Linked DNA regions of Struthio camelus. The protein of the gene in region 1 purifies or fractionates together with the protein of each later gene. This does not show direct contact. Links are inferred from orthologs where the notes say so. Each region holds a gene or a part of one and is shown on either strand. Other genes may lie near its edges. The genes, in order: PTEN, OTUD3, USP10 and CENPC.

Evidence for each region.
Region 2: the proteins of PTEN (region 1) and OTUD3 purify together in Homo sapiens (affinity purification with western blotting; 3 studies listed by BioGRID and IntAct, with this or other methods). This does not show direct contact. The link is inferred for Struthio camelus from reciprocal best matches to the Homo sapiens genes PTEN and OTUD3.
Region 3: the proteins of PTEN (region 1) and USP10 purify together in Homo sapiens (affinity purification with western blotting; 4 studies listed by BioGRID, with this or other methods). This does not show direct contact. The link is inferred for Struthio camelus from reciprocal best matches to the Homo sapiens genes PTEN and USP10.
Region 4: the proteins of PTEN (region 1) and CENPC purify together in Homo sapiens (affinity purification with western blotting; 3 studies listed by BioGRID, with this or other methods). This does not show direct contact. The link is inferred for Struthio camelus from reciprocal best matches to the Homo sapiens genes PTEN and CENPC.

Annotation. Positions count from the first base shown.
Region 1 is NC_090948.1:43,320,931-43,328,910, forward strand, and holds the start of PTEN (phosphatidylinositol 3,4,5-trisphosphate 3-phosphatase and dual-specificity protein phosphatase PTEN), read left to right. Parts: upstream 1-4,965; 5' UTR 4,966-5,045; coding exon 5,046-5,124; intron 5,125-7,980. UniProt on the Homo sapiens protein: Dual-specificity protein phosphatase, dephosphorylating tyrosine-, serine- and threonine-phosphorylated proteins.
Region 2 is NC_090962.1:12,812,434-12,819,897, reverse strand, and holds the start of OTUD3 (OTU domain-containing protein 3), read left to right. Parts: upstream 1-4,462; coding exon 4,463-4,626; intron 4,627-5,375; coding exon 5,376-5,524; intron 5,525-6,266; coding exon 6,267-6,379; intron 6,380-7,464.
Region 3 is NC_090951.1:4,542,742-4,550,235, forward strand, and holds the start of USP10 (ubiquitin carboxyl-terminal hydrolase 10), read right to left. Parts: upstream 3,014-7,494; 5' UTR 2,821-3,013; coding exon 2,800-2,820; intron 1-2,799. UniProt on the Homo sapiens protein: Hydrolase that can remove conjugated ubiquitin from target proteins such as p53/TP53, RPS2/us5, RPS3/us3, RPS10/eS10, BECN1, SNX3 and CFTR.
Region 4 is NC_090945.1:5,207,782-5,215,685, reverse strand, and holds the start of CENPC (centromere protein C), read left to right. Parts: upstream 1-4,902; 5' UTR 4,903-5,213; coding exon 5,214-5,228; intron 5,229-6,749; coding exon 6,750-6,796; intron 6,797-7,904. Other genes in the region: STAP1 (signal-transducing adaptor protein 1), read right to left, coding at 3,003-3,194. UniProt on the Homo sapiens protein: Component of the CENPA-NAC (nucleosome-associated) complex, a complex that plays a central role in assembly of kinetochore proteins, mitotic progression and chromosome segregation.

The DNA.
Region 1 (7,980 bases):
ATGTAATGGTTTTTCCCCCAAAAACTCTTCCAGGCTTCATGAACTCGCAGATCAAAGACTCTGAGCCAGAGGTTGTACTGTATTTTATAGCCAATTCTTCCATGACCCTGTCTAGTCTCCCCTTGAACCCATGTAAACTTTTAGCATCCATGACATTTTGTAGCAGAGTCCCACAGTTTAACTTCAGGTCACGTCACTAACTACTACCTCTCTTGGCTGTTTTGAAACTGTTGCCAGCGAATTTCATCTGGTGTCCCTACATTTTATATGTATGGAAGAAACGTCAAAGAAATCAGTCTTTGTCCAACCTCTTCAGTAACTTGGGATTTTCTAGATCTCTAGCTAACTCTGCCAGGATGAAAAGTTCCAAACTTCACGGTTCCTCACCGAACAGCCGTTCTGTAGCTTTGGTCATCCATGCTTCCCTTCATCGAATCTTCTTCAGATCTGTTCTATACTTTTTAAAACGGAACCTGACCAAGAGAGCGAGAGAGAGTTTAGGATGGACGCATAGCATGAATTTAAACACTGACATAATTATTTTCTCTCCCCTTCCTACTAATTCCTGGCATAGTCATGCAGCTTGGATAATGGGATTTCAGCAGCGGTTGTCATGATAAAGATGGTTACCACATAGCTTGATGAAGACCTATCTCACGACTTGCTGACACAATGGCCATTGATAGGCTATTTTCTGCTCAGATTGCTTTTTGGTCTTGTTCTGACTTGGACTCAGGAAGCTAGCCAAAAGAGTTTCAGCTAAGCCATATCAACTTCCTAGAGACAAGGAAGCGTGGCTGGATGTTAGAGGGACACACTTTACACTTGCAGGACCTTTGGAAATGTTTTAAAAGATGGTCTTCATTTGCTAAGCACAAGTATATTTGCCTATGGGTAACCTCTGAGTCCGGGGTCTAAAAGTAGGCGCTGCCGTGAAATCTTTTCATGGGTTCCCTTCATACGTTTGTAGGTTGCAAAAGAACAGTATGATCTGACCGTACACACTAGTTGATCCCAAAATAAATATGAGCTGCCAGTGTGAATAGGAAAATAGGGCCCTAAGATGTCTTAGGAGCAATGTTTCTAGCAGAGTTTGGAAGGGATTAATACCATTGTCCTTGGATCTGGCAAGATACCATCTAGAACACTGCATGCCATTCTGGTCATGTATATTGAAGAGAAATGAGTAAAACTGAAACTGGAGCAGAAAGCCACTACTGAGATGAGGGAGAACGGACAGTTAGGAGAGCTGAGCTAGCTGAGCCTAGTCAGACGAAGGCTAAGAGGGACAACATTTCTATCTGTAAACGCACAAAGGGTAAATATGATGGAGTAAGAGCTATTTAAGGCCAACGCTGGCACCGGAACAAATGGATATAAACCAGTCACAAATATATTTAGCATGAAAATCAGAAGAACATTCTGGGAACAGCTTCTCAGTGGGAATTATGGTAACAAAAGATCTTAAGAGGAAACTTGATACATTTGTGAAAGGAATTATATTATATAGCATTTGCAAAGGCTGGAGGCTGCAGCGACCCAGGAGATCCTTCCACCCTACATTCCAATTTATTTTGACTCTGTTAAAAGCACAACATAAAACTTCATGCTTCAATTCCTCTACCTGTTCCAACCATCTGCAGCTAGACTTCAGCACCTCTCTTAAAAGTCATTTAAAGACTGAACAAGACAACAGATTTATCATATCCTTTGGAGTATCTGAAACATGAATTCCTGTTTGCTGTTCCTCAGAACGGAAACAGTTTCAGAAAGTATTGTCTTACATATGTATAAAAATTTCTATTTATTATCTTTTTATACAGAGAGAGAGAATGTTTTATCCCATCTTTCCTAGTTGACTATGTTGCTTACCAATAAATTTTCCACAGTATCTAACCACTATGCAAGAGAGGCGTTATGATTTTACTCGTAAGTTTCCTGCTCAAATGTATTTGATAACCCTTCGTTAGGTAATGCAATTACTAAGTGAACCATGTAAAAGTTTCCTGCTGGTGTTCCTGGGAGTGCTGTCTTCACTGTGATACCTTGCCTTTCTCAGGCAAGGTATCTTTTGCGGCCAGCCTCAGAAACATTTAACTGATGTCTATGAACTAAGAACCAGGATCTGTTCTTTAGGGAGATTTCTGTCTGGTTTATATCATCCGTTTTTCAAAGAGAGAAGAGGAAGGAATGCACAGGTTCTCTTCTTCCCATGAGGCCAGTTCTTTCCAAAATGTCTCTTTTCTAGTTACAGCGGAAGCGTTTTCTCTTCCCTTTTCTTTTTATTCCTTGTGGATTTCTGGAGATGTCCATCACTCCTTTATAAAGCTAACAGCTGTTTTCTCCTTCCTTTTAAACAGGCTTTCTTCAAAGGTATATTGTCTTTGATGTGCATGGAATATCCCTCAAGTTACCTACCGTTCACCAAAAGAACGTTGTGAAGACAATGTTTTTGAGAGAAGCAAATTTACTTCTACCAAGTAACCCTGTTTCTTCTAAGGTATTATCTGTCAGGGTCTCCTCTGTTCCCTCAATATTTGTGGCAAATGCCCATCTCCAGCAGTTTCCGTTCCTGACGCTTCATGTAAAGTCATGCATTCTAAGTTGCCTTAAAGTATGTTGTTTTGTATTACCCCAACAGGCTAACATTTCACTTGTCTGCACAAAAGAAAAAGCCATAGTCATATCAACTCCGATGGAAAAACTGATAGTTAACTGAGACTCCAGCCAGCTTTCATACTCAGAAGTCCAGCTTGGGATGGGCAGCTTGATAGTCACTGTTCTGCAAATCATTAACATGAGCAATGCTCGCTACCTTAATAAAGCAGTTTTCAGACCGGAGCGTGAAGACACTTATGATGTGATGGTGTTTATCTGTAAAAGTTGCTGTAAAAGGAATGGTCCCATTCCAGTGAAGGCTGGTTTGGAGATTTAGAGACAGCACTTGTCACCTGTCAGGATAATCAATTTTGATCAGCCAGGGCGTGGGGCTGGGGGGCCTTTACAAGTGAGGTTTACCTGATCATCAAGGTGGTGGATAAGCTGCACGTATTACTCGGCTCACTCACCATATTCTGCAGTACTAGAACAAAAGGCCTTGCAATGAAACTAATAGGAGATCAGTTTAAAACGGATAAAAAAGTACTTCTTTATGCAGCAGGGAGCGAGCTTCTGGACCTTGCTGCCACTGGAGCTGGGGGAGGCAGACAGGATCAACAGCATCAAAAAGGGATAAGACAAACTCGCACAGAACACGGCCACCAACGGATGCTAAGGGAAATAAGCAGAGACGTCCCCTCTGGCAGACCGAATTCAACAACCGCACACGCAGAGCACAGAAAGCACCCCAGCTTGCACCCTCTTCCAAAAGGGCGTTCCCGCTATTGGAGAAGTAACACTGCTGTGGCCCAGAAGGGCACTTTCTGTTCCCACCTGCTCGCTCAGATGCCAGAGCCCTGCGTGAAGTACCTACCCCAGGTGGCCAAGACCGCTCGGCCAAAAACCTCTCCCCTGGGACCTCGGTGGCTGCAGGGGGCAGCAGGTGCCCACACACTACTGCCGCGGGTGGAGGACGGCAGCTCCCGAGCAAGCTCCCAGCGTCTTTAACGTGGCAATAAATTACACGAGCACCGGCCACAGCCAGAGGAGAAAACGAGTCTTTTCGGCTGTCCGCGTACCCCCCCCACCCCACGGCGGCCCCCCCCACCCCACGGCGGCCGCCCCCGCGCGCCCCAGTCACCCGCGGCCGCCGTCTCCCACCTCCTTTCCCCGCCGGCGGTCACGCCCCCCCCCTCCCCGCACCGCCGCCCCCGCTCCTCGAGGGGCAGCGGGGCCTCGAGGCTCGTCCCCGCCGCCACGGCAGCGGCCCAAAGCCCGTTTGTCCCGGCTAGGGGAGCCAGGCCGCGGCGCTGCCCCCCCCGCCCCCCGCCCGGGCCGGAGGCGGCGCCGCGCCGCTCGCTCACCTCCGCGGCCCGGCCACTTCCGCCCGCGGAGCGGGGGGGGGGGGGGCCGCCGCGAGCGCGGCGCCGCGCCCACGTGACCTCCCGCAGCCCCGCCGCTCGGCGCCCACGTGACCTCCCCCCCTTCCCAGCGCGCCCCCCCTCCCCCGCCGCTCGGCGATGTGAGCCGCCCGTATCCCTCCGCCGGGCCGCGGCCTCGCCCCCGCAGGGCTGCGGTGGTGGTGGTGGGGTGGGGGGGCGGGGAGCGGGCGGGCGGGCGGCGGCGGCGGCGGGGCGCGGCGGCGGAGCGGGGAGGGGGGGGGCGGGGCGGGCGGCGGCGGTGATGTGGCGGGACTACTTTCTCGCGCCGGCGGAGGCGGCGGCGGAGGGGGCGGGGCCAGCGCTTTCTCCCCTCTCGGAAGTTGCAGCCATGATGGGAGTCTAGCGCTGGCGCGGCGCTGCTGGGCGCGGACGAGGCCGGGGGAGATGAGCCAGGCCGGGCCGGAGCCCCGCACGCCCTGAGTCGCGCCGCCCGCCGCCACCGCCGCCCGCCCGCCCCGCCGCCGCCTGCCGGGGAGCGCTCGCCCGCCCTCCCGCCCGGCTGCGCGGCCCCACCGCGCGGCCCCGGGTCCGCCGCCGCCGCCCCGGGCGGGGAGCGGGGCGGAGCGGGGCCGGGCCGGGGGGGCGCCCCGCGCCGCTGTCACCATTGCTGGGGCCCGGAGCGCCGGAGAGCTGCTCTCTCCGCCTCCGCCGCGCTCGCCTCAAAGACGGCGGCGGCGGCGGCGGCAGCACCCTCAGGGACTCGGCCCGGCTCTCAGCCCTCCCTGCTCGGCCGCCGCCGCCGCTCTCGCCCCGCTCGGCGCAGCGGCGGCAGGACGAGGAGGAGGAGGAGGGGGCAGCCGCCGCCGCCGGGAGCCGCCGCCGCCGCGGGGGGAGGCGGGCCCGCCTGCGCCCCCGCCGCCCGCCGCGGGGCCTCGGGCTGAGCCGCCGGAGCAGCAGGCCCCGCGCCCGGGGCCGCCCGGCAGCCGCCGGCCCCGCGCCCCGCCGCCGCCGCCGCCTCCTGCCGGCCTCTGCGCGCTGTCCCGGAGCGGCCCCCGGCTCCTAGACATGACCGCCATCATCAAAGAGATCGTCAGCAGGAACAAAAGGCGCTACCAGGAGGATGGCTTCGACTTGGACCTGACCTGTATCCCTGCTCGGCCTCCCCGGGCCGCGGCCCCGCGCCCGGCGGGAGATGAAACCCGAAAACCGGTGGTGCACGTACAGCTATTGCATCAGACCCTGCGCGGCGGTTACCTAATGCGCTTCCCGGTGCCGCTCCGCCGGGAGGGAGAGAGAGCGGAGCAGAGCCGGGGGGGCCCCCCGCCCCGCCGCCCTCCGGCCTCCTTTTGTCGGGGAGGCGAGGGGCCGTGCGGATCAACGGGAGCTGCCCGTGGCTAATGGTGATGGCGAAGATTACCGGGAGGGCTCGCTCGCAGTTGCGGCGCGCTTGCGTGCCCGGTGCTGGCACCGCTCCTGATTTGGGTGGTTTGTGCCTCCCCCGGGCCCAGCGGGTCCCCGGCCGTGTCCGAAGTAACGCGGGGCTGCCGCCTCTTATCTCTGGCTGCGCTGGTTTTCAGCTCGGCAAATGACGCCTGTCCTGCCGTGACTCGCGTGCAGAGCGCTTTTCGATTTAGGAACTCGCCTTGAATCGCAAACACGATTGCGGCGTGGCCTGCCGCTTTCCTGGGGCTGCTTAGGTTCGCGTGGCCTGTGTCCTCTGCGCTGATTTTCTTGCGTTAAGCGGGGAGGTATAGCTAGTGCTCTGCTGCAGTCAGGTATGGCCAGCTGCTCAGTTACGGGCAGCAGCGCTCCTCGGTGTTCTTCTAAATGAAAAAAATGCTTCTCTAGATAGCTAAAGTGCTCTGTAAGCCCTACTTTGGCCTAATCTGAGATACTGCATGTATTACCAATGAGAATACATCAGGGCTTGTTGAAGAGGGTAGCGAGGAGCAGTTCTGGAGTATGTAATTAGTATGCAATTAGAACTAATGAGTCAAACCGTAAAGAACTGAGCAGTTTTGGTGGCCTCCTGAACAGATGTGCTCTAGCTACCGCAGACAGATGTTTAGCTTTGAATGCCTTGCAGAGGTAATAGTATGTAGGGCTAGTACTGTGGGTGTACCTTTTCTTCGTGGAGAAGTTCATCGTTATTGTGTTTGAAAGGTTATTAAGTGAGAGAAGAGCCTGATACCGTCTCGCATAAAAGCTAAAACTGTGTTAGGAAAGATGAAAAATGACAGTAGTATTCAGATCTGGACTTAGGATCTTCTACGGACTGAGACTGCTTTCTGCTCTGCAACAGGGTCAGAGTAGGCTTTGCTGTTTTTCAGGGCAAATATATTTATGTCACAGCAAATGCTACATATACAGCCAAATTCTTGGGCAGGATGGAAGCAAACTGCTGTAACTGGTGTAGAGCTCCTGCTGTTACTCTGAGATTTGGCCTAAAATTTTGGTGGCTTTAAAGCAGCTTGAAAGCTTTTGACGTTAGCAGGTGACTGCTGAGCTTAACTAAAAGTAGGAGCTCTGTGTAGTTCTTGTGCTCTGGTTGTGGTATTGATAAAATAGAATTTTAGGCCTGCATTTCATATGTTCTCAGTCGGTCACTTCTTTGGCCTACAATTTGGACAGTTGTAACAGTGACATAGGCCAGCGCAGCGCTTAGCTTATTATTGACTTAAAGACAGAAGTCTGAGTTAGACTTTTTGATTTTTCCGAGTAATGTGCTTGCTGGGAACTTCTGGCTTAAGAGAAGTGTTAAATGGTGACAAAATGATGGGTTTTTGGCTTTTCAGTTGTAGAACTGTTTCAGATGTCTTTGCCCAAATATGCAGTTGGTCAGGAGGGATTTTTGACACAGACAGATCTTCACATCTTTTTAACTACTTATCTGCTTGTATTTATTATGTGCTTCTTGGCAAAAAAACTGCTGAATTTTAGTTGATCCTGGATTTTCTTATTCAAGGCTTTTAATGATATGCCAAATGGAGTTTATTGGGTTTTTTTAGACAACTTTTGTCTCATTAATTTTATTCTTAAAATATTGCCTTAGAAGTAGGTCACTGAAAACTGGACTTAGGCTGATTTTCCTAAAAGCAGTAGCTGACTGCAATTCTGTAATGAAATTTATGGGGAAAAAATGTATTTTAATGATTGTGGAAACACCTCTGGAAGAAGCTTATGCTCACATTAGGTGCTGTTTTAATTCATAGTTGCACATTTTGAACAGATAATTAGTGAATGAAGACACTGCATGCCTGATATAATGGCTATACTGGAAGGCCAACCTTGCTGCAAGAGTGAGATTTTAATATTCTATCATTTTGTGCAGGCTTCATGGAGCTGTTCTCTTCACGAGGTTTTGAGGGAATCGTTGCTACCTCATTCTTGGAAAATAGCCTTCTTACTTGAGTAGACAGAGGACTGAGCTTGGAGCTGAGCTTTCCAACCATGCAATGTTAGATGAAGAAAGAGGAAAAAATTGTAACCCAAATGAAAAAAAATTGAAACCTAAATGAGCTCTTTGGGAAGGTATGTGGTGTATGATAGCAGAATTGGGATTTAAATTCTCCAATCAGTTTCTCGCTGTGTGCTGGAGAGCGAGTCAAGCTTGCATCTAGGTTTCTGCTGTTGGTTAGCTGGCCTTCCCTGGCTTTCCAAGCTAAAGGAGAAAGTCTTACAGGACTATATAGCCCAGTGATTTGGCCTTTTAGCTGGGATGTGGGAAACTGAAGTATGAATTTCTTCTTCCAGTAAATATTTTTATACAGAGTAGATCAGTGTTAGTGGAGGTTCCAAAATACTTAGTAACTGACGGTTTCCTAGACTGTGGGAGATGGAGAGTCAAATCTTACTGTGAATCTGCTAGAGTAAGGACGGGAATCCAGGTGAGGTATCTGATCACCAAACTTTGAATTGGGCTGTGCGGTCCGTCTTTTCCTGCACCTATCCTTGAGGGCCGGTTCATGTCTTGGAATCGCAGGGGGACAAAGACTTGTAG
Region 2 (7,464 bases), on another chromosome or scaffold:
GAACTCTTCTACTTCTCTTGCACTGGCTTTCTGCATGACCTTGGCAAGTTGTCTTGTTCTCTGCTTCTCAGTTTTTGACATTAGAACCGTAACGACACACACTATGTATCACAAAAGCTGAATCCTGGTATGTTGGATTGACAGAAGGTTTCAACATATCTGTTTCCCAGATGCTGTCAAAGATCCTGAGAGGAAATTAAATTAGGAATACAATGATGTTTTTAGAATGCACGTAACCAAAGGCAGAGCATATTTTTCATGCCAGGTAGATTTGAAGAGCAGTGTGTATCGCTCCCTTTCCTTGCTTTCCTGCTTTTCCAGCATTGTGTGCCATGGAATTAGGTACCACACCAGTTGTGAGTGCTCTGGGTAGGAAGTCTGCTCTTCTTTGGCCCTGCTTACTACCTTAGAGCTGTTACCCTACAGCACAGTTTAAAGAATGAGGCATAGCTTTGAGTGTTCAATGTCTGATTACCTACATCCCTGTTGGTTTCAGTTATCAGAGGGCTTCATGTGGGGACTGAAGCATGGGCAAAGTAAGTGACTTAAGGTCACACAGAGTCCAGGGGAGGTCTGAGAAATAAAAACAAAGTTGGTGTCTTAGTAAGAGCATCTTCCCTTTTTTTTTTTTTTTTTTTTTTTTTGAGTTCACAGGAAGAGCTGCACTGACAAGAATGCCCTATGCCACCTATGCTTAGGTGGTATATTGTGAATATTCAGCTTTTCTTAGACTCCTGAACCAAATCCCTCACTCTCTATTTTTGGGTTTTTTTTTTTTTTGAGGGGTAGAATAAACAGTTTCTCGGTAGGAATCCCATGGAAGTAAGGAAGAAGGGCAGGGGCCACTAATCCCTTCAGGGATCATTTGTAGAAGACAGAGTACCGAGTCTAGCCTCAAGTGCACCTGAGTGCTCAAGCTGTCTGTGCTGCTGTGTCCCAGCCCCTCTCTCCCACAGCAGAGCAGAGGAAGGAACAGAAACAAACGCGGTTAGAAGGGCAAAGGAGTTCAGGACAACACTGAACTCATTAACTAACTGGTGGGTGAATGAGGTGAGAACTTGTTCTTCTTTGAGAAAGAGTAGAAGGTTTATGGTTAGCAGACTTCATGAGTGTCTGGGTGTTCCTGCTGTACTTCTGCTGACACAGGCTATAGCAGGGGTTCACGGACATTCGGGTGACGCAAACGTTAGGAGCCTTCCATGCTTCAGTTAAAAGCTAGGTTAGACAAATTGAGGCCTCCATGTCCATTTACCCTGTCTTTCAGCAGTGGGTGGGTGTGACTTCCCTGTTTTTCCAGCGCATCTACTGGAAATTCAGAGCTGGCTGAGCAACGTTGTTACTTTGCTACTGATGAAGGTCGACAGCTTGGACAACTCTAGAGGGAAGGGGAAACGGAGCGTGTTGTGGTTCAGAGGTCCTTGCAGAGCCATGCATCCCCCAGGGTACAATTTACTGCCACTTCCACGTGGACAGGGGACCCCGCAGGAGGAAGCCCGGTCCAGCGTATGGGCTCAGGAAGCGGCAGCTCTGCAACTCCTGAGCTGTGTTTTCAGCACTGCTGTTCAGGCATTGGGTGATCTCTCTGCCCAGTTTTGTTATTGATCTTACTGGATTTAAAAGTATCTATCGATGTCCTTCATTGATGAAAATTTCAGCTGAGTGTTCAGAGGACCTGTCTTGACCGAGTCTTGCCCTTGGCTGCATGGGTGCCTTTCAGTGGCTTGTATGCTTGTTCTAGTCACCTGAGTTGACTCTAGCCCTTTATTACTATTTAGTCCAATTACTGTTTCATTAATCATTTGCAAGCAGTTCAACCTCGTTTCCTGCTTTTGGTATATTTGCATAAGAAGTGTTTCTGCGGAATATTTCTTCCTATGGGATTTGTTTATGACAGGAAAGGGATGCAAAAGAGCAATCTTATCGTTTCAGGTTAATCTCAGAGTAAAATAACAACTTGTCATAGGCTTTTGAGTATAATAATATTCACAATCTAATACCAGAGAAGCTAATGTTTATAGTCCTTGAACTTCTTCCTCTGCTCAAGATCTGTATCAGAATGTTGTGACTCTGGACAAGAGGGACTTTCTAGACTTGTCCTCAACCTTCGACATTTCCCAAAACTTGAAAAAGTGACTTCAATTGTCCTGATGTGAAGCCTCTTACTATATCACCTGTCAGTCAGTGTAAGTATGAATGAAGCAGAGAGCTTCCGTGAATGGACAGTCACCTTTAGATCTTTAGATTTACAATCTCTCTGCTATTGTTGCAAGGAATTTTTTATATTGGGGTTGAAAGAGAGGTTGCTATTGGTGGTGATCAGCAGGGGAATTCAGCTACAGTGTATCAGGCTCAGGAGTGGCCTTATAATTGATATCAACAAATGTTAATTTGACCTGATAAATGGGACCTGAAACCTTCCACAGGGGAATCCCACATGGCAATCCTGTCTTGTCTTGATAGTCAGCCATGTGCTTTTGTGGCATATTTGTAATGTTCATGCCAAGGAAGTCGATTCACACTCTACCTGGGTGTGTTTTTTCAAATTGTGAATGTTCTTTTAGGGTCCGTCTCACAGAGCCGCTTGGATGCATCCTCTGAACAGAGCTAGGAACTAATTAGACACAAATTCAACTGAAATGCAGCAGTTCTGACAGTACCGGGCAAATCCTTTCACAATAGCTGCATAACAAAGTAGGGCAAGAAAAACAGAATAAAGGGGTAACTGATTTGTCTATAGTAGAATAGTTGCGTTGATTTGGGGCAGCCCAGGATTGTATTAATGGTAGATGACTTATTTGACTGGTTGCTTCTGAGAATGGGGAAGAAGAGTAGGGCACGAGGCCAACAGGAAAGCCAAACGCTCCCCAGTCATGCTGTGTTGGGTAACGCATGACAGACTGGAGCTTTTTGTTCTTTGTCATGCTTCTTACTGTTAAACTTCTATCCACTTCCATGTGGATATGCATACAGTCTCCCCCTCTTCCTTTGGGTCCAGCAGTACTGGAAGGGGTTGTTATGGCTCAAAGTTGCAACAAAATCAGTCTCCTTGTAGAGGAAAGTATGTTGCAGCTCAGTTTGTAAACTGGCAGTGCTAATTTTATCTTCCCAAAGCGCTGAATTCTAAATAAGTGGTTGCCTTTTTTAGGGCTGAGCTTTCTGCTACGGCAGTGGTCTCATTTTTTGGCAAATAACCCGGCTTTCCAATGCTGTGGCTTGTATCTTGCTATAGATGTTCTACAGTTGCAGCAGCAGATTCTGCAGTGTTGCTGATACAAGCTGTGTGGTTTGGCGGTGTTTCCACAAATGGCCATCGTACTTTGGCCCAGCTTTACTGGTGAAACAGGTGGAGGAAGCCCTGTATTAACACTGTGCTGTTCGGTGAGTGCTCCTAGTTGTGTACTGTGGGAGCAGGTCTCATTTGTGCCCCCCTTCTCCACCCCCACGCCCCCTGTTCAGATTAGTTTTCCATATTTCTTCTTGCCAGGGCTCAGGGAAATAGGAAATGCAGGTACAGTGTCATGTATCAAAACCTGACTTTTCCACCAGGAAAAAGGTAAGATGTTTATTTACAGGCTGAATTCACAGCCTGCTCGAGTCAGGCCCTTGCTGAGTGTGACCACTCTAAACACATTTTCCTAATAGAAATTAAATATTCTTCTGCTTTGGAACTTTGAATTTTCTTTTTCAAGCCTTCCGTTAACTGTTACTGCTTTGGCTGTCACCCTGACCCGTGTTCCTGTTGTCAGGCCTGGGGCATGGCAGTGTGAGCTGTGTTCTTGCAGTGCCACCTCGTGGGTAGTGAATGTTCTCACCTCTTTGTTCCTTTCCAGTTACTCTTGCATCACTGATTCGGTGCTGAAGTAGACACGGACCGGGCTAAGAGGTTTGTGCTAGTTTATAATTGCAGAAGTTAATGAAAGAAGGGCCACAGCCTCTGTCCAAGGGAAGTTTTTGGAGTAAGTGGGAACTAAGGGTGCTGGAGCAGCAGGGAGAGGTGCTGGGGCATGACCCCAAAGGCCCTTCTAGACTGACCAGGAGGAGCACCTGGGTAGAGAAGTGCAGTTAGCTGGAGAAACTAAGGATGAAAGCACATGGAGAATCTGGCTTTCACACAGACCAAGCATTGTGGTATGAAATTAGGAGCTTTGTCCTGCTGCCCTGTGCTTTCTCCTGGGCTCCGCTGTTGATCCCAAGGGCTGCCTGGTTTCACCTTCCTTCCCTTTGCACTCTGCATGGCTTGGATCGCTGACACCTCCTGCTTCCCCCAGCTCCCTCCCCTGCCTTCCCTCCTGCCCCGGCGCCCTCCTCCTCCTCTGGAGGACTGCTGGTGGGGGGGGGGGGGGGGAGGGCTAGAGTGGCGGCGCTCTGGCGTCTCTTGCGTCGCTCTCGGTGGCGGCGCCCGGTGGTCACGTGAGGGCCGCGGCGGCGCAGGCGCAGTGGGCGCCCGGCGGGCGTGGGGGCGATGTCCCGCAAGCAGGCGGCCAAAGCGCGGCCCGGCAGCGGTGGCAGGAAGGCGCGGCGGCCCCGGCCGCCCGCCGCCGCCCCGGCCCCGGCCCCGGCCCCGGGCGGCCTTGCCGGGCAGCTCCGGGCGCTCGGCCTCAAGCTGCGGGAGGTCCCAGGTGACGGGTGAGCGCGGGGCCGGCACCTCCGCCGAGCTCTCTGCCTTCTGAAGCCCCTCAGGCCTCTGCAGGCTCCCTCCACCCCCGGCAGTGCAGGGCCTTTGTCCCGGGGGGCTCCCTTGGCCTGTCACCAGCGGGGCCGAGGGCTCTTCTAGCCCCAGGCTTGTCTCCCACAGGCTTGAGGGCCACCCTGTCTGCCTGGGGCATAGGAAGCACCATAAACATTGGGAGAAAGGGGAGTTAGAAACCTGGTTGCTGAGGAATTGCTTGGTGAATCGTTGGGTTGTCCTCTGTGGCGTTGTCATTTGTCTTGGTTGCAGTTTAGGACAGTTTGGCATGGTGCTATTAGTCCTGTTGACTTGCTGTGTAGGATCTGATGCTGTTGTCACCCAAAACAATGCTGTTGTTGTATTACCAATTCTGACTTCAACAGCCATTCTAAGTCCTGGGAATAAGTGGTATTTCACTTCCATATCCTTGTTGAATTACTGGGCAGAAGGAGCGTAGCTCATTTCTCCTCCTGTTAACACTGGCCAGACACTGCTTCCAATCTGGACTCTTTAATGAGGAAGCAGCTGCATCCCTTTTCATTGGCAGTGTTTGGTGCTTGAGTCAATACATCAATGCAGGATTGTGCTGGGGGACGCTTCTGCTGCGCAGTCTGTGTTCTTTCTGCTCCTCCTTCGGGGTGGTTGGTTTGGGGTATCCTGTTAACCACCTTTCAAACATGCTAACTTGCAGTTTCTCTTTTGGTAGTAATTGTTTGTTTCGGGCCCTCGGTGATCAGCTTGAGGGGCATTCACGGAACCACCTTAAACATCGCCAGGAGACAGTGGATTACATGATAAAGCAGCGGGAGGATTTTGAGCCTTTTGTGGAGGATGATGTTCCCTTTGAGAAACATGGTATGGTCTCCGTAAGGCAATAACGGAAGGGGATATTCTGCATCATCTCATTTGGGTACCTTACTACACTGTTTCTCATCCCAGAAGTATTTTAGAGCAGCTCTCCAGTTTTTAGACACAGTAGTTTCTCTTTGTTTTCTTTCTTTAGAAAAATGAGCTGTTACATTTGCTTTGGATCTTTTTAAAATTTAGGAGAAACCTGGCATAGGAAAGAAAAAAGCAAGGAGTACAAATATGCTATTTTCAAAAGGAACTTAGAATCTAAGTGTCTAGCTCCCCTTGAATGCTGGTGGGTGTTGAGTGGCTGATTTCCATGGGTTTCTTTGTCTCCTTGACGATCCGTATTTTGTGCAGTGTTAACCTAGGGAAAGATCCAAAGCAGAGACTAATACAGCCTTCGTTCTAACAGCTTTGAGGATGTGCCAGGTAACGTGCAGGTGATGCATAAAAGCGTTTTGGTCACTTAATTCATGGCACTCTTTATTCAAAGCTAACACAGAGCTGATGACCTTGCATAATCTAAGGATGTACTAGGTTTTTTAGAGCTTTCTGTGGTCATTTAAGGCTCATTAACTGCAGTCACTGCCAAATTCTCGCTTCAAAAGTCACTCTTTTGCAGTTGGGGATTTCTTTCCAGAATTTCTTGGACTAGTGTTGAAATTGTTACTCAGTATCCCTCCAATGCTTTTGAAAGCGTCAAAAGCTTAAGTTTCCAGTTCTCACAGATTTTTTTTTTCTTTAGTTACCAATTTGGCAAAGCCTGGTACCTTTGCAGGCAATGATGCTATTGTGGCATTTGCAAGGAACAATCAAATGAACGTGGTTATTCATCAGCTTAATGCTCCACTGTGGCAGGTAAGAAGTAAGACTTTTATATTTTGGTCTGATTTTTAGCTGGAGGGTAGTTTTGAAACTTTGTGATCTATAAAAAGATGACAAAAACACTGATCGGTAGCCGTAGTTTGGCATGGTGTTGAGCTGTGCTTGCTTTTTCCAGCCTGGAAAGAAAGTCCTCAAGACTTCAGCTAGGAGGCGAGGAAACAAAACAAAATAAAACAATGAATCCATGAAGCATAAGTATATGGAGACAGAACTCTGGTGTTAAGCTCCTGGCTTCTGCAATGTTCCTCTCTCCTGAGGATCAGACTACATGCGAGTTCACAGAAATTTGAGCCAGGCTTAAGGAAACTTTGTTAACAAGTTTCAGGAATACGGAAGTGAAGGTATAGCAGGGCAGCCCCTGCAGTGTGTTGGAATGAAACGCCATCAGTTCTGCATCAGATTTGGAATGACAATGAAATGGTTTCTAACAGTCAGAGAAATGAGGTTCTAGAATGGGCAAAAAAGAAGGGAGAAGTTGTAAAGTCTTAAGGTGGTGTTTAATCAGTTTATGAAAGTAGACTGTGATACAGTTTCCTCTTACAGTAGGGGACTGGAACAAGTGATCCATCATGTCCTTCCTCTGTTGTTGTTGTTGTTTTCCTGTAGTGAACCCACCCTAGGATGGATCCACACTCAATCTGGCTATTTATTGAACAACTGAGACCCTACATTCAAGCCAAGATTATTTCTTGACATTTTTTAGTGATGGTAATAATGGATTTAAGGGCGGACCCCAGTTTAGAGATAATACCGGTGAGGTATATAGATTAAACAGCGAGATGAAGAAAAGAAAAGGTGAAAGCTGTCGATAACGTCTTAAATGCATTTGAAATAGTGTCAGATGGATTCCTGAACCAGAAGTTTAGACTTTATATATAGACAGTCATTGGAAGTAAGACAGCTAACCTGCATGTTTTAAAAAAAAGTTTACTTGGCAGTCACCATGCAAATGGGTAGGAGTAGTCAACTGCTTGACTTGTGAGAGTAAGTAGAGATGAAAAGACCCTGCCGGAGTTTACGGAGGTGCTGTTCATGTTTTGTTACTGTTTTGAACCAGA
Region 3 (7,494 bases), on another chromosome or scaffold:
GCTTTGGTATCCTTTCTTCTGTTTAACTTGTTTTCAGAAGATTTACAAATGAAGTGTTTGCAGTAATTCATTCCATTAAAAAGGATAAGAAAGTGACTGAAACAACTGTTCATAAGGTTCCTACAGAGCACTACTATTTCCAAACAGGGAAATATTCGTTAAATCTTCCTTTTTTTTTAAAGAAGGATTTTTAAATGTCCTCTTCGAAAAATGGTTTTAATTATATTCAGTGTCAAATCAGCTCAATATCTGTATTGTCATACAGAACCAGCAGTGATACAACAGGTTTACTTTCAGCTTGTCTTAATAAAAATGATCTTACAGATTTTAAATATCCTCAGAACACACCCAGAAGACTGAGAGCAACACTTAAGAATCTGATTAAATGATTATGAAATACCTGCATGGAATACAGAGGTACAAATGACCAGCATATCTAAACTGTATTAAAATATGCTGGTGTGCCTTCTGAATAGCTGCCATCTAAAATGAATCCTCCTTTCAAAATATCCAATATGGTCATGTTTCACGATTCACTTGTGAAGAGTACGCAGGCTGATTTATAGAATACTTCTGCATACCACTACATGAATCCGTTAATTGGCAGAAGCCTGATGGCACATTTTATAATATTTAGAAGAGCAGGATGTTCTAGAAGACATTTCTCCCCCATGTGACAAAGTTTGCCATAACTGAGACATTTTAAATACTTTTGCCTAGGACTCCACATTATGACATGAACACAATGACTAAGTAATGTTATTTAGCTTTGTGCTTAGAATGTATGACTTTTATCAAAATTCTCTCTCAAACTTTTCTACCAATCTTCAATACTGTCATCTTAAAATTAAAAGGAAACACCTACATGCAAAACTACCTCCCTAAACTCATCTTCATGTCCTCCATCCAAAAAAGTACACAATACTGTTACCTTACTCCAGCATTACTGCACCGTGTTGCTCTAGAATATGTGCTCACATAAATATGAAGCAGCATTTACATCAACTGTTTATAATACATTAGAAAAAAAAAGCACAAGGGGTTGTGTTTAATGACATGAAGACTGCATTAGCTGAAAAATACCATACAGATTCGTTTCCTCAATTATACATAAATTTAAGCAGCAACCCTCCAGACTTAAATATCTGCTTTACTTACAGAGTAGTTTGATCTACACTACAGTACTGACAGCAAGTAACTACAAAGGACCAGACCCAAAGATTTTCACTTGACAAAAAATCAGAACTAGAGGAAGAAAAAAGATGAATCTATAGTCTATTTTTAATTATGACTGCAGTGTTTCAACATTAAGTTGCTGTACTTTTTATTAAGTTCAGACACAAAAATGCCCTTTATTGTTCTAAATCAATAAAAAAAGTTGTAATGAAAAACCTACAGTCTTATCAAACTGACTACGTGCACTGCTGTCTAGTATTTTGCTGTCTAGTATTCAAGAGGAGGATAACGCAGAGTGAAACAGCTTCTAAGTTGGACACTGAATCTCCTCCACACTCCTTTTGATATACGCTGCATTCTAATTACCATTCATTAGGTAAGTCAATCAATGTACTAGAACCAGAGTGAGATTCCTCCACTTTGAAAGAAAAGTTTAAGAACACAAAGTTTTATCATCACAGCCGTGCACACTAAAGTTTAAAAAACTCCAAAAACTGTAACTGTCCTCAAGACACATATATCAAAATACAAGAGCTCTTAAAAAAAATCCTTGATAATAAATACCATGATAGTTTTTACCAACTTTAAACTTTGCTGTAAAGAAAAAACACAGTCAGTACCACTAGTGTACAGTTTTAACACAGATGGGTACCTTAGTCAGCCTTCAGGAAAAAAAAAAAAAAACAGAGGATAATATAGCATAATGTTAGAAAAACTTAAAAAATTTATGAAAGACTTTTTCCAAAAAAGTAGTATACTGTTCTTTAGTAAAATTATACTTAACATGCTTTAAGTTTTCTGAACTCCCTTACTCGCAGAAAGGAAAGTTTTACAAAGTTTTGCAAATGCACACCCCAGTACAGCACTTATAATTGCCAGAAATTTTTGCTTTAAAGTCTTTCTTGGGGGGAGGAGGGGGAACACCCTTACAAAAAGAAAACAGCAAACTTGATCCATTCAACCATTTGCTTTATGCATAAACTAGATTAGACCCAAGACTCGAGCTTTCAGCTTCCAGTAAAAAGCTACCTGGGCTGCAGATTTTGTTATTCCATGCATAATCCTTCTGGTCGGTTTGGTCAGTGGGAGAGGGGGGAATTGCACGCCCATCCCCACGCATAACGACCTCGCAGCGCTCAGTCCTTTGCACCCCAATGCATCGAGGTTCAGGGGGCGGGAGGGAGAAGTGGTGAGGGGGAGGATTAACTTACTAATCCCCTTATTTCTTTCCCGTTGTAGACTCTCCCCCATCGCTCCCTCTCCCCTACCCCCCAAAAGCCCGACCTACTGAGTAGCTCCCAACCCCCCCCCCCCTTGCAACGGCGCGGATGGGGGAACAGCACCGCCTGCATCCCGCACAGGGCACCAGCGCCTCCTCCGCGCCTTCGCCGCCCCGCGGCGGCTCAGCGGAGCGCCCAGGCCAGGCCCCCCCGGCCGGGCCCCGCGGCCGCCGCGCCCCCCACCCCGGCGGGATTCAATGAGGCTGCAGAATCACCCGGGGCCTAGTCCCGGCCACCACGCTCCCCTCCTCCGACGAGCCGCGCCGCGGAGCCCGGCCGCCCCTCCGAGCCGGATAGGACCCCCCGCGGCTCCCCGGCCCGGCAGCGCGGCGACGGCGCCTACCTGGGCGCTATTTACAGCCATGGCGCCCCGCCTCAGTGGGGAGCTCGGCGTCTCCCAGGCGCCTCACGCTGCTGCCCCCGCCGCCGCCATCTTCTCTCTCGCACGCACCAGCCGGGCGGGCAGGCGGCAAGCACTGCGCCTGCGCACAGCGCCGCCGGGGAGGGGAGGGGAGGGGCGGCGCGCCTTTGCGCCTGCGCGTCGGCCGGGCGGTAGGGGCGGGAGGCGGCGGTGCCAGCGGCGCGCAGGCGCAGTAGCGGCCGAGCCGGGGGCGGGGCGGCCCGAGGAAGGGGCCCGGCGGCGGGGGGTGGCGGGAGCTGCGGGTGGGGCCGCTCTCCGCCGGGGGCGGGAAAAGGGGGTTGGGGGGGGGGGGGGAGAAACCAGGCAGCTCGGGGGGTCCCGGCGGCGCGAAGGAGGGCGAGGCAGCCAAAAAAACTTCACCTCCGGCCCCAGGCATCCCTCGGGGTCGGCCACGAGGCGAGCGGCCATCGCCCGCCAGCGGCGCGCGGGGCTGCCTCAGAGCGGTGCGGGCCCGGGCGCCGTGAGGCGGCGCCGCCCCCGCCGAGCGCAGCGGGGCGGCTTCGCCCGGGGAAGGGAGGGGGGATGCGGCCGGCCCTCCGGGTGGGCCCTGTGCGGAGGGGCACAGGGCTTTTCGGGTTTTTAGGGACACGCAGGCTTCGGCTGGGTTTCAGCTCGTGCTTCCTCGAGGCGGCGGGCCGCGCGTTGCGGAGTTGGAAAGCCTCAGACGCCAGCAGGCCTTGGCCCCGAGTAACGAGAGCGATAAGGGATTAGGCATTTGTATTTGGAAAACAAACAAGCAAACAACAAAGAAAAAAGTGACTAAGCCAATATTATGCTTTTGAGAGGACTGAGTCACAACTGCCTGCTTGTAAGCTCCCATCCCCGGGCAAGAAGCCATTAAACTAATCGCTAATTTACTCCGCCTTTTTTTCCCCCTCTTAAAAAACTACTAGATCCCACAAAAGACCGCTTCAGCTGCGGAGCAAGTGGTATAAAAAGCTTAACTTTACTATGAAAGTTGAAGAGAAGAAATAACGTGCTCCCCAGGAACTCTGTGATTGTGGCTTCTGAGAGAGAAGGTTCACTGAAGATGGAAAGCAGACTTCACCTGCCTTATTTTTTGATAAAGACATTTCCCTCTTATAAGTGCAACGCTTAATGTGTGCTCATGACAGTAATGGGAAGAAACTACAGTAGATGATTTTCTGTATCTGTTTCTGTCATTTCAGTTGACACACCCTGCTCCGCTCCCTTTCTTTTTGTTCTAGCAAGCGTTGTTGCTCTTCTGTCCTAAGGCAGAGAACCAGCAGTGAAAATAGCTGTTTAGTATTTAAAGGGGGTGGGGGGAAAGAAAGAGGGAGACATGCATGGGGATTTTACGTGAAGCACTTCCTACATCTGAAACCCCCTCTGCCCACAGGAGTCTAATTTACAAGGTAAATAATGGAGTAAAAACCCTTACAGAGCTCGTCTGGCTGAAGGCAAAATTCCCTTCTGCCCACAATCCTGCTTAAGTAAACTGACTGTGTTTGCTGGAAAGGTTGCCCCTGCAAATGGCTGAAAATACAAATGAGCAGAGTGCTTTCCACCTGAAAACAGGTTAATTCAAGGACCAATATTGTTCAAAGCTGGAGCAGACTGGCCAGAATTAGGGTGTGGGCAGAGAGGATGCAACTGTTGAGCAAAATTAATAACACCTTCAATTTTATCCTGCCTTAATACAGTTTCATTGTAATGTCTGTTAAATTTTTACCACAATATCTTGTAATACTGTAAGTTATGTAAGTTTGATCATAATAGAATCCTTTGAAGGAACTTTTACCTGCCGGAAAGTTTCCTCCTCAGTTCTATCTTACCATTCATTTTTGCCATTTCTGGTGGTGTGTCATTGTATTACTCGTCACTGCATTGCTCAAATCAGCTTTACTTTTTTTCTATCCTTTATGTCAGTGGCCAGGTACTCACAAACAATATGTTGCCTTTCAGACTTTAAAAAATAGTGGTTGTCTATTTTGCTTTCTGTGTATCCACGTTCTTAAGGGAGAGTAAAGGGAGAGTAAAATAATGTTAACTCACAACATGTGACCACTTAAATACTTTGTATTTTGATTAACAGCAGTGGAGGGTCACATCTTTGGGAATCAGAAAGACTTGTTTTACATTAGCCAGCGAGCTGAATAAAATACTCCAAATCAGTTGCCGCCCAATAACAACTACGGTAATTGTTCTTACTCTGCTATAAATGCAAAAAGCTTGGGAATAGCTTATCCTACAATATCATACTCCTCATGACCTTGCTACAGCATAAAACTGACCCAGGGGTTAAGGGTTTGTACATTTGAGGTTCCTGAACTGAAGCAACTGATGGGCCGCTTTGATCTGCTCTTTCAGGGACAGAAACGAGTATTTTCCTGTAGTGCTGCAAGACCTGGTTGATCACTGTGGAAGGTTTATCAATGTCTATGCAGAGCTTCTTCACAGTGCTAGGAGCTTTAGAAGACTTTTATTCTGGTAGTTTCTACGTACAATAAGGGCTTTGCTGTTTCTCCAGTCATTTTGGTAATGGAATTCAACTGGGAGGAAAAAGCCCAGTCAACGCTATACTGTGCGTTGGGGGCACCCAGACACAAAAAGCTAAGGTGGCTGCTGCGCGTTTAGAGAACATTCAGAAAGAGATTATTTATTTAAAGCAGCAGGAGACTAAGGGAGCATAGTGATACTCTATGCCCACAGTAGCACCAAAATAGTGTTAGGAAGGAAGCTCTTTTCATTTCCCTCATAAAATACTTATCAGAAGCAGTCATCTCCCCTGCTTGGACCTCAGACAGGAGCTTCTGATGGCGGTTCAGTTGGCTTCTTGTATTTCAAGTTCTTAACCAGCCTACTCTTAAGTCGATATCAACAGAGATGTCATTGGCAGAATCTGTAAAACACAGCCGTGACAGTCCCTCTCCAACGTGTCCACAGAGACCCTATGAACTTTGCCAGAGGTAAATCTAGCTACCTTACAGTGGCCACAGGCATACAAAAGGAATTATATGAAGTACCTGGGACAGAAAGGACAGAACTTGCTGCTGATGGAGGTCCTTCCTACTGCTAATGGCTATAATAAAAAATTTGGACAACCCAGATGAAGCTCTTTTCCTTTCTTTGTAGAGCTTGCGTAGGTCTTTGTTGTCAAACCTCTTTTTCAGATAGATGTCTGTGCTTAGATGTTCTGAATAGCATTCTGCTGGATATTCAGTCCTGAGGCTTTCCCAATAAATCTTAATCCAAAACCTCGTACTTCAGAGGTTTACCTGATTACTGAAACATGCTTGCTGAGTAGTCATAAATTTGTGAACTTTCTGTGACCTGAAATTGCACAGGTTAGCAACAGGCATCCCTGTGTTTAGAAAGAGAAGCCGAGATAGCACCAGGGCAAGAAAAGCTATACAAGGAGAAGCAATCAGCAAAGTAGTACAGGACACCAATAGGAGGTGTTTTATTCTGGAAAGCACTCGAGCAAACTGGGCTCCAAACTCCTCCTTCTTAAACTTTCTGATAATTTGTAACAAATATACTTAATCTGTTGATGCAAGGAACTTAAACGTGAAATAGTTCAAGTGAGCCTGAAAGAAATTTCAAGTCTAGACAAGCCCTTAGTAGATCGTGTGGCTGCTTGACTCAATATATTCTGTTTCAGTTATCTATGCAGACCTTTTGGCTGAATTATTTGTATCTCATCCTTCCCTGTCTTAAGTATGAGCCTTCTCTCTTCTCATGCAATGCAGTCTATTTTAGAGCTGCAGTTTCAAAAGAACCTTTATCTCACCTCTAAATTCTTTCCATTCACCATTTTGTTACTCATCGCTGAAACCGTCATGATAAAAACACAACTACATTTTTGTTCCCAAAGCTGTAGTGAGTCCCAGCAAGAGCCCATGCAATGCTGTAACATGGATTTGGTATCAACAAACCCACGCCTGGGCTGTGTGTCTGTCATCCATCTGATAGTGCATCAGCAGGGAGAAGGAACCTGCGTAGCTGGGACTTTGCCTTGTGCATGCTCTACCTTGCACAGGATGGCAACAGTGCATCTCCAACTGGACGGGGGATGCACCTGCCTTATGTGGTCTGAAAGACAGCTCAAAAACAGAGCTTGTAAAGGTTTAATTAGCTTTTCACTCATTAAAACCATAGGAACAGAATAATTTGGAATGGTCAGAAGGTCATTCTTAATTTCAGTTTCCACTCCATCTTCTTTCCTGCTAAAACTGCTCACATAAAGGGTTTTTATCAAAAGGACTAAGTGCAGCCACGTTTAACAGGTTAAAAGAAAAAGAAGTCAGCAATCCTGAGGTCCGTTTCTATCTTTGTGACTATCAGCCGTGTAAAAACTACGTCCCGTTTTCCACTTGTCGTCTGATGTAAGGATGACACTATCTACTTGCTGAAGTGTTCTAAGTCTATAAATTCTGCTGGATGAAGAGAGCTGAACTATTACAAGAAACTGAAATAAAATGATAAAAAAAAAAAAAAAAGCAAAGCTTTCCATTTGTTACGCTTCCCTTTTTTCGATAGAAACTTCTGACTGGTCAGAGGTTCCTTAAGACATATCAGCAACCTAAGAATCACAACTAGAATCTCGACTTTTTTCTGCAAGTTAAACTGCTTCTCAGAAAAGGTACTAAAAGT
Region 4 (7,904 bases), on another chromosome or scaffold:
TAAAGGGACCGATAAAAACTCTTACCATCATTTGCTTTTATATCAGTGCTTTAAAGAGCATTAAAGAGTGAAGATGTATTTGTTTTGCAAGCAATGTAAGAAAAAAAAGCTCATTAAATAATTTGTTGATGGCTACAAAGATATACAGGCTCAAGGCTTTGCTTTCTAATGTCCTAATCTGGCCTGGAATGGGAAAACTTTTCTGTCGTTTGTTGATCTAGATCACTATAACGTTGATCTAGACGGCAGGTAAACTATGCCCCTTTACTTGGCTTTAGTGCCTGCTAATAAAAATTCTTTTTGAGTAGCACTTAAAAACACATTCTCCTCTGGTTACCAGTTAACCAACAGTGAAGATTTTTAACATTTGTCAATTTAAAATTAATAAGTAATGAAAGAAAAATATATTTTAAGTACCATTTAAAACTCTCACTGTCCCTAAAAGGCATAAAAATGACACTCCATACTTTGGACAAATACAAAAGTGAGCTGGACATTCGCTTAATTTTTAAGTTGAAAAGCAGAAAAAGCAAGATCCCGATCCTGCTTAAGATAGCTAGTAAACAAAAAGCAAACTCTTTCCTCGTTGTTCTCAGCACATCATTCTCTAGAAAGTGGAAAATCGTGCAACAGGAACATGTTTAAAGATGCCAGTCTTCTGAACACTGTTCCCTTGAACTGCTTACTTGTATTTAATTTTGATCATGCTAGTTTATGTGCTTTAGGGATAAGACCACGTTAATGCCTTTCTCACGGAACTTGACAGTAGTCTAACCTATTGTTTGGACTTCTTGTACTTGAAGTGATATATTTCATGTACTTTGTCTGTAAATTACATGTGATAGTGTTTGTAAATCAACCGCACGTAATCAACCAAATGTCATGGTAAATACGACTGTCTGACTGTTACAAATGTTCCTTAATACTATCTTGCCCTGAATGACGGGAAAGGTTTTTCTGTTGTTCTTGTGCCCCTGAGAAGTGTATTTGTTACAGGACTGTGAATCGGGAATGCAAACCTGTAAAATACATGTTCTGTTTTAGTCTTCGTTTTACTTACCTATTTTGTTTTGGGGTTTGTTTGGGTTTTTTTTTTTTTTTTGACACGAAGTTGGAGGTTTTCACAGAAATGGAGAAAAGAAATAAGTCTTCAAGTCTCCAAGGTTATATGAATTAGACTGAACAAAATATTTTTCCTAAAGTATCTTGCAGGTGGTCCTTGCTCCCTGCACTGCTAACTCCTAACTAGTTTTTCTGGTGGCTTCTGTGAAATCACTTGTGTAATGTCCTCTATAGCATTCAGCCCCTGGACCCCAAGCTCTGAGCGCTGCAGTGTGCTATGAACATAAATGTCCTCCTTAAAACATCTGTCCCTAGCAAGTTAATGAAGCCTGTGAAGGCTTGCTGTGGCGTAGTGCTTGGCTGAGAGAGGCAGGGTGCTGGATGTCGTGGGAAATTTTTGAATCACACCTTATAAATTGGGCATTGTGCTCTATGGAAATGCAGTAGTATTAGCCCAGGAATATTTGTTGGTGTTTCACAGCCATAAGTGTTCCTTAGGCCCTGTATGCAGTCTACCTGCGTCACGAGGAGGAGGTGGCAGAACTATTAGCACAGGAGGAAGTAGTACTTGTAACGCAGCACTACGTGAAACTGAAGCTGGCCACTGCTTAAAGACATCTTTAGATACTTAAAATAGAGTAGTATTTGTAAAAGTAATGCACACAGAGAGTCCTTTCTTTTTTCAGAAAGGTGCCATATGATTTGAAGTGGCTCATAGTAACATGGTACTTTTTAGGAGTCAGATCCAGTTAAGAAATATGTATTAATGAGTTCTTTTTTCCTGGTGTCTGGTCTGTAGTTCAGGTGGTTAGTATACCTCTTCAGCATCACATAAGCCTTTTTAGACTGGCTGTGTGTTATTGCTCTGGCCTGCTATTGTTTATTATTGTATTATGGTGATGATTACATTTCCGAAGGAGGATTCTTCAGGAAAAAAGTTTTAATGTAGAAGTATATAAATAAAGGAATGTGTGAGAGAGCTTTATTAAACATACAGGTATTCTCATGCTAGACACAGCAAAGCAATGCTTAGAAGAATTTTGAGAGCTGCAAACAATTTAACAGCAAGGCTAATAGTCTGCTTTTTGCTTCTTGGAGTTCCTGTTTTCTGTGGTACCTGTTTGTTCTTGTGAACCACTGTGCTATTTTCGTCTTTTGACTATATCCATCTTTAGCCTCTGTAACTCATATTTTCTCTACTCTGTCTGTGCTTCTGTATCTACAGAGATGAGAGTGTAGGTAGGGTTAAGGCAAAGACTATTTTGTAACCCTAAGTACAAAGGATCACCGTTGTCAAGTGCTAATAAAGGCAATCAGCTTGATTAAGGACATGCTCTGAAAATATATGCTACGATAGCACACAGAACAGTATGAAGGCACTTACAAACTTGGGTCTTAAATGGTTATTGTGTGTCAAAAAAATCAAGGTACTATTTTTCTCAGTTAGTCCACACATATTGAATGATCAGCCTTTAACAACAACAACAAAAATAGGTATAGAATGCCTCATGTACGCTTCAAGTGGTGTGTCGCTGGAGATCTCAGGATGGATACTATTGTCCAGTAAATATGGGATGCATCAGAACAACGTTACAATGTCAAACTTTGCTCTTGTTATTAAAAATATTGCATTGACTTTCACCATGGTGTTAACTATGAAACCAGTCACTTTTAGTCTGCTTTTCAGTAGGTAACAGTAAACTATAATGGAACCCTGGAGATATTGACGGTTACATTACATACTTTGGTTTACTTCTTTTTCAAGAGGCATGAGCAGAAATAATGGAAAGTGCAAATTAAGCAAAATAGCTTTATTTCGGTGCAACTACATGCATTGGGCAGCACTGAGAAGTGTTTCTCCCCCCAAGTCTGCAGCTCACACTGGCAGATTTTTGCAAAAGTGTTTAAACATATCTACTTACTGGGACTGGGCACCTTACCTGGCATCTTGAATGCCGGATTGACAGATAACTTTCAAAGTACAAAGGCAGACCGGTGACCCTCTGTCTCTCGTGGAAGATTCTCCGGGGAGCCGGTTTAGGAATTTTCTCAGGCTCTTCCATAATGCTTCCCAGGGACCTCTGGATATCAGATGTTTTTTTCCCTCTTTCCTGCTCTTGCCTGCCTTGCATCAGCCTCAGCTGGAGAAGAAACTCACCTCGGTGAGAGGGGAAAAAACCCAACAGTTTAAAGAGGAAGTCTCTGTACTTACTTTTAGGTCAGTACATGCCACAGACTCTTTACTCAACATATAATCACAGGAGGAACCAGGCTGAATGGATTCAAAGGATCTTTTCTAGCAAAACATCTATGAGCTCGTTCCTTGGTTTGCTCAAAGAGGAAGAGCCAAATGATGAACCTTCTGGTACAAAACTGCATCACTACTACAGCTGGTTTCACTCAGAGATAATGGCAGAAAAGCCTCCTTACTATAACTTAAAAGTATTGGACTTGGGTCCAACAAGGGTTACATGGGCTATCTACCAGCTAGGGAGACTGTTTGTACTCTTAGCTGCTTCCACAGTACTATTGAAAGTTTTCTGTGTGAATATGTGTTTTAACATTACGACTACCAGATTATGACTGTTTTAATTGAAATTTCTTTAGGAAATGGGACATCTAGTAGGATTACAGAACCCCAACAGTAATATCAGAAATAAGCCTACCTACCACTGTTTATTACTGACAGCCAAATTTCTAGTGTGCATGCAGGATAGAAAGAGCTAATATACCAAAGCCAAATAAAAAATTGTGAAGGGAAATTGTAGTTCAAGAGTGAAATGTTGGTCCTTCTGAAATGAGGGGTGAAATTTCCATTGACTTCACAGAACCGTTATGTTTTGCTTCATTTCTGGCGTTTCCTAAAGCGTTCAGAAAGAATAGCAATGACAGGACTTGGTATTTTGGTGCTTTTTGGTGTGAGAGATAAAGTGAATGTGAAAAATTTCTGTGGATCATTTGTTGTTGAACATCTTCCTGCTCTTTTTTTTGTTTTTCAGCAGCATGCACCTGTAAGATGAGTACATAATTGACCTGTAAGGCGATCTGTGATGGATCATATAGCTGCTAGCCAGCCCTAGCAGAAAAGAGAGGTACAATTGTATAGGCGAAAGTGAATTCTCCATGTCATCTCCATGTCATCTCTAAATACTGCTGTGGACAGATCCATAGTCTCAGCTTTTGTTTACATTTCAGATTGCAGAAGTTGATGTGCGTTCTTTTTTAATTTAATTTAAATGGCAGACTCTGACTTCACCATTGAATGTTGCAGAAGAGCTTATGAAGACAGGTACCTGCACTGTTGCATGGCAAGACAGAAAATGACTATGCAGGCTGGAGCTGATGAACTCGGTCCTGTGCGGTGCGCTCTAAAAATGTGTCTTTTTAAGATATGTTTTGGGCTGGCTTTTGTAGCAGCGTATCTCCTCAAACGGTTCTTTCAGCAGTAGCTCCCGGCTGAGTTCAATAACGCTTAAAAAAAAGTCAAAATCTCGTGGTGATTGTAGGTGTTTTGCAGCGTTTATTAGAAACCTGAGTATTTGAACTTTGCTGAAATTTATACAGGAAGGAAAAAAATAATGCAGTGACCCGCCAGGAGACCTTGCCTAGGGAGGGATGGGGATGAATATTCGAGAATGAGTATCATGACAGATTGAGCAGATCCTCCGAGTAACCTTGCTACATTCTGCGCTTTAAAGACAGCGCAATTAGTAATGGCTCAAGGGGGAAAGAGGGGAATAAAGGCAACGGCCGCGCGAGAGAAAGACCCCATTACCCCTGAGGCGGGGGGAAGCCTGCGGCGCAACCTTCTGCGCACGCGCGGCAACGGCTGGAGGAGGCGGGTATGGCGCGCGCGCAAAGATACCGCCCTCTCCGGCGCGCGGCCCCCCGCTGACCAATGGGGCGGGGGGAAGGGGGCGCTGCCGCTGCTCTGCGCGCGCGCGCGCGGGCGCGCAGTGGGAAAGCCCCCGAGGTTTGAAAGTCGTGAGGGGCGAACGGGTCGTGAGGCGAAAGTCGTGAGGCGAGCGGGTGGGCGAACGGCCGGAGGGGAGGGAGGGGGAGAGAGAGGCGGGCGCGGGGTGACGGCTTGGCCGACCCCCGCGCCGTAGGGCCGGGAGTCCTCGTCTTTGTCGTGGCAGCGGCGGCCCGGGATGGCGGAGGCCTTGGTGAGAGAGCGCGAGCCCGGGGGCGCGGGAAGGGGCGGTTGTGCGGCGCGAGCCCCGCGAGCGGCTGTTACCCTCCCCTTCCCCTGCCCCTCTCTCCTCACTGCACTCCTGACAGCCGGGCGGCTCCCGGCGCGGGCTTCCTGGGCCGGCCCGAGGCCTGCCCGAGCCCTCTGCGGTGCTTTCCGGCCGTGCAGTCTCGGCTCAACCCTTGGGTCCCTGGGGCTGCTTTGGGCCTCGCTCCTGGGGAGACCGCGGCCGGTGTTAGTGCTCTGCCCTCCCTGACGGGCACCGCACCAACTGGCTCGGCCCCAGGTGCTGGCACAAGCAGTTCTGTGCTGAGAGCTTGTCTTCTGAGAGCCCTGTTTTCTTTAGGCTGCCTGTAACTGCTCCTACTGCTTGTTTCTGAAAACCTTCCTTTTAGGGGGTAGCATGCAAAGAATCAATAATTCTTGCCTAGCTATATTAGAGAGGTACCCATCTTCCTCCTGCAGACCACCATCAGATATATATATGCGGTGGGTAAAATTTTAAAGGCTCTTTATGTGCAGTGGAGTATTAACATAATCACCAATAAACTTAAAAGCCCTTTTAGCTCCGACACAGGAATGTTTCATTTTTTACGTGAAAGGTTGCTTGCTTGAAGAGCTTCAAGCCTAAGCGACTGGCTCACTGTAGAGTACAGTTTCCGTACTTGTTGTGAAGTGATGACATTTTGTGTTATAAGCCATTCAATTCACTGAGTGATATGGGATTTAATCCTACCGTTTTAAGGTTGAAAATCTGCAGTGGAATGAAATTCTTTTTTTGGAATAAAATGAGATTTTTGGTCATTTTTATTAGCAGAGGTAGTATCTGCAGAAATATGTGAAAGAAATCCTAGGTGAAGCCATCACTTTCTATTCGGAAAAGTATGAAATGGTTTCAGTATGGCAAAATTATTAGGAAGAGCATGCTGAATTCTATTGCATTAGGACTGAATGATCTTCATACTGCACATGCACTTATTCCAGCAGCAGATTGGAAGAAGTCATAACTGTCAATTAAAGTTGAGTTCAGCAAGGTGGTAATTTTATCATGGAATGGCTATTATGCTGTAACTGCCTGTCGTGGTCTTGCCTGTGAAAAATACAGGGTAAGAATCTCTATGTGAGCAGTTTCCACAGATCAGTTAGATGGGCTGTAAGGTTACGACCTAGCGTGCTTTGTGGTCGTTGATTCCTTTTTGTTGTTAAGATGAGTATTTCTATAATGGCAATAGAAAATTTAACTAATCCCTTAGATTCTGTAATATTTTTGTCATGTAAGTCTTGCAATTAATTTCAATGCAACACATGCTTGATGCTTCTTAAGGAAAGTTGAATCCCTGGCAGTTGTTAAAGGGGTGCTGAGCACATCTGTCAGAACTGCAGGGTTCTCAGAATAATAGGGCTGCAGTAACTGCTACTAGTTTATGATGAATCAAGAATCATCAAGATTTGTTGGCAACGTGCTTGTTAAAAACTGATTCTTCTTTCTTAACAGAACCTTTTCAAAAAAGACTACAGAACAAGATTCTGCCATGGAGGAGGGTAATTTACATTTATACTTAAAATTCCAGTTTTAGACAGTATAGTTTGGAAAAGTTACCCTGATTTATTTCTGTGAACTTAATGTCAAAATTACAGGAGCGTATCTTTTAACATTGGTTATGTAGCGGTTCCCAACTTGTATTTCTTAGCAGTGCAAAGCAAATTGTGCTCAGGGAGAGAATACAGTGTCTTACTGAAGCTTGGAGTTTAGCACTTTGTATGTCCTTTTGATCAATGGTTGGAAAAATTAGTGTTTAATATGCTTCTGATGCTCTCTTACCTCAGTGCATGCATTCCTCCTAGACCTCGTGGGTGCAAAGGTGTTACTACTGTTTCATTTGCCGCAAAGAGCGGAGAACAGATGGCAGCAATTCTGCAACAGAGAATATTGTCCACCTCAATAGCCAGTATGACATCTAGTGATAGGTTGTCCACAGGATAGAGTCCTTTATTTACACAATTTAAGTAATTTACATTAAAAAAATACATAGATGTGTGTATGTGTATATATTTAATATAAATTCAATGTACTTATGTATGTGTGTGTATATATATATTTTTTACTTTCTATCCTTCCCAGGCTCTTTCCTTTTTCATTGACTGCTTTTCCTTTGCATTCCTCTATTAAAGTGGCAGACTATGGTGCAGAGATACTGAGGCTACCTCTAGCTAGGCTAGTTGAGTACTGAAACAGTAGTCCTTGCAAACGTTTTTCCTCTGAGGTTGTAGAGAAATGAAGCACCTGCAGAGTTCGAACTTGTGTTGTTTGGCCCTTTCTGGTAAATTAGCTTGAGTATTGTATGTTGAGTATGTTGAGTACTGAAGAGTAGCTTGAGTATTTGTTGTGCTGTAGTCTTTCCTAAAGGAATTTCAGAAGTTAGTGAGCTTTGTGTTACTGGCATCCGTTTCTAGACATGCGTTTCATGAGTTTGCTAAGAAAAAAATCTACAAAATTATCTGTTTTAGAAGACATATAATAATCACGTGGAAGAAGTGTTCTGTAGCTTTTTTGTTGTTATTTTCATCAAAGTGTTTTAGCTAGTGGATCTCTTCTGCCATTTTCAGTTCCCTTAGAGGAGATAAGAAATAGCAACCTAACCATTTGAGC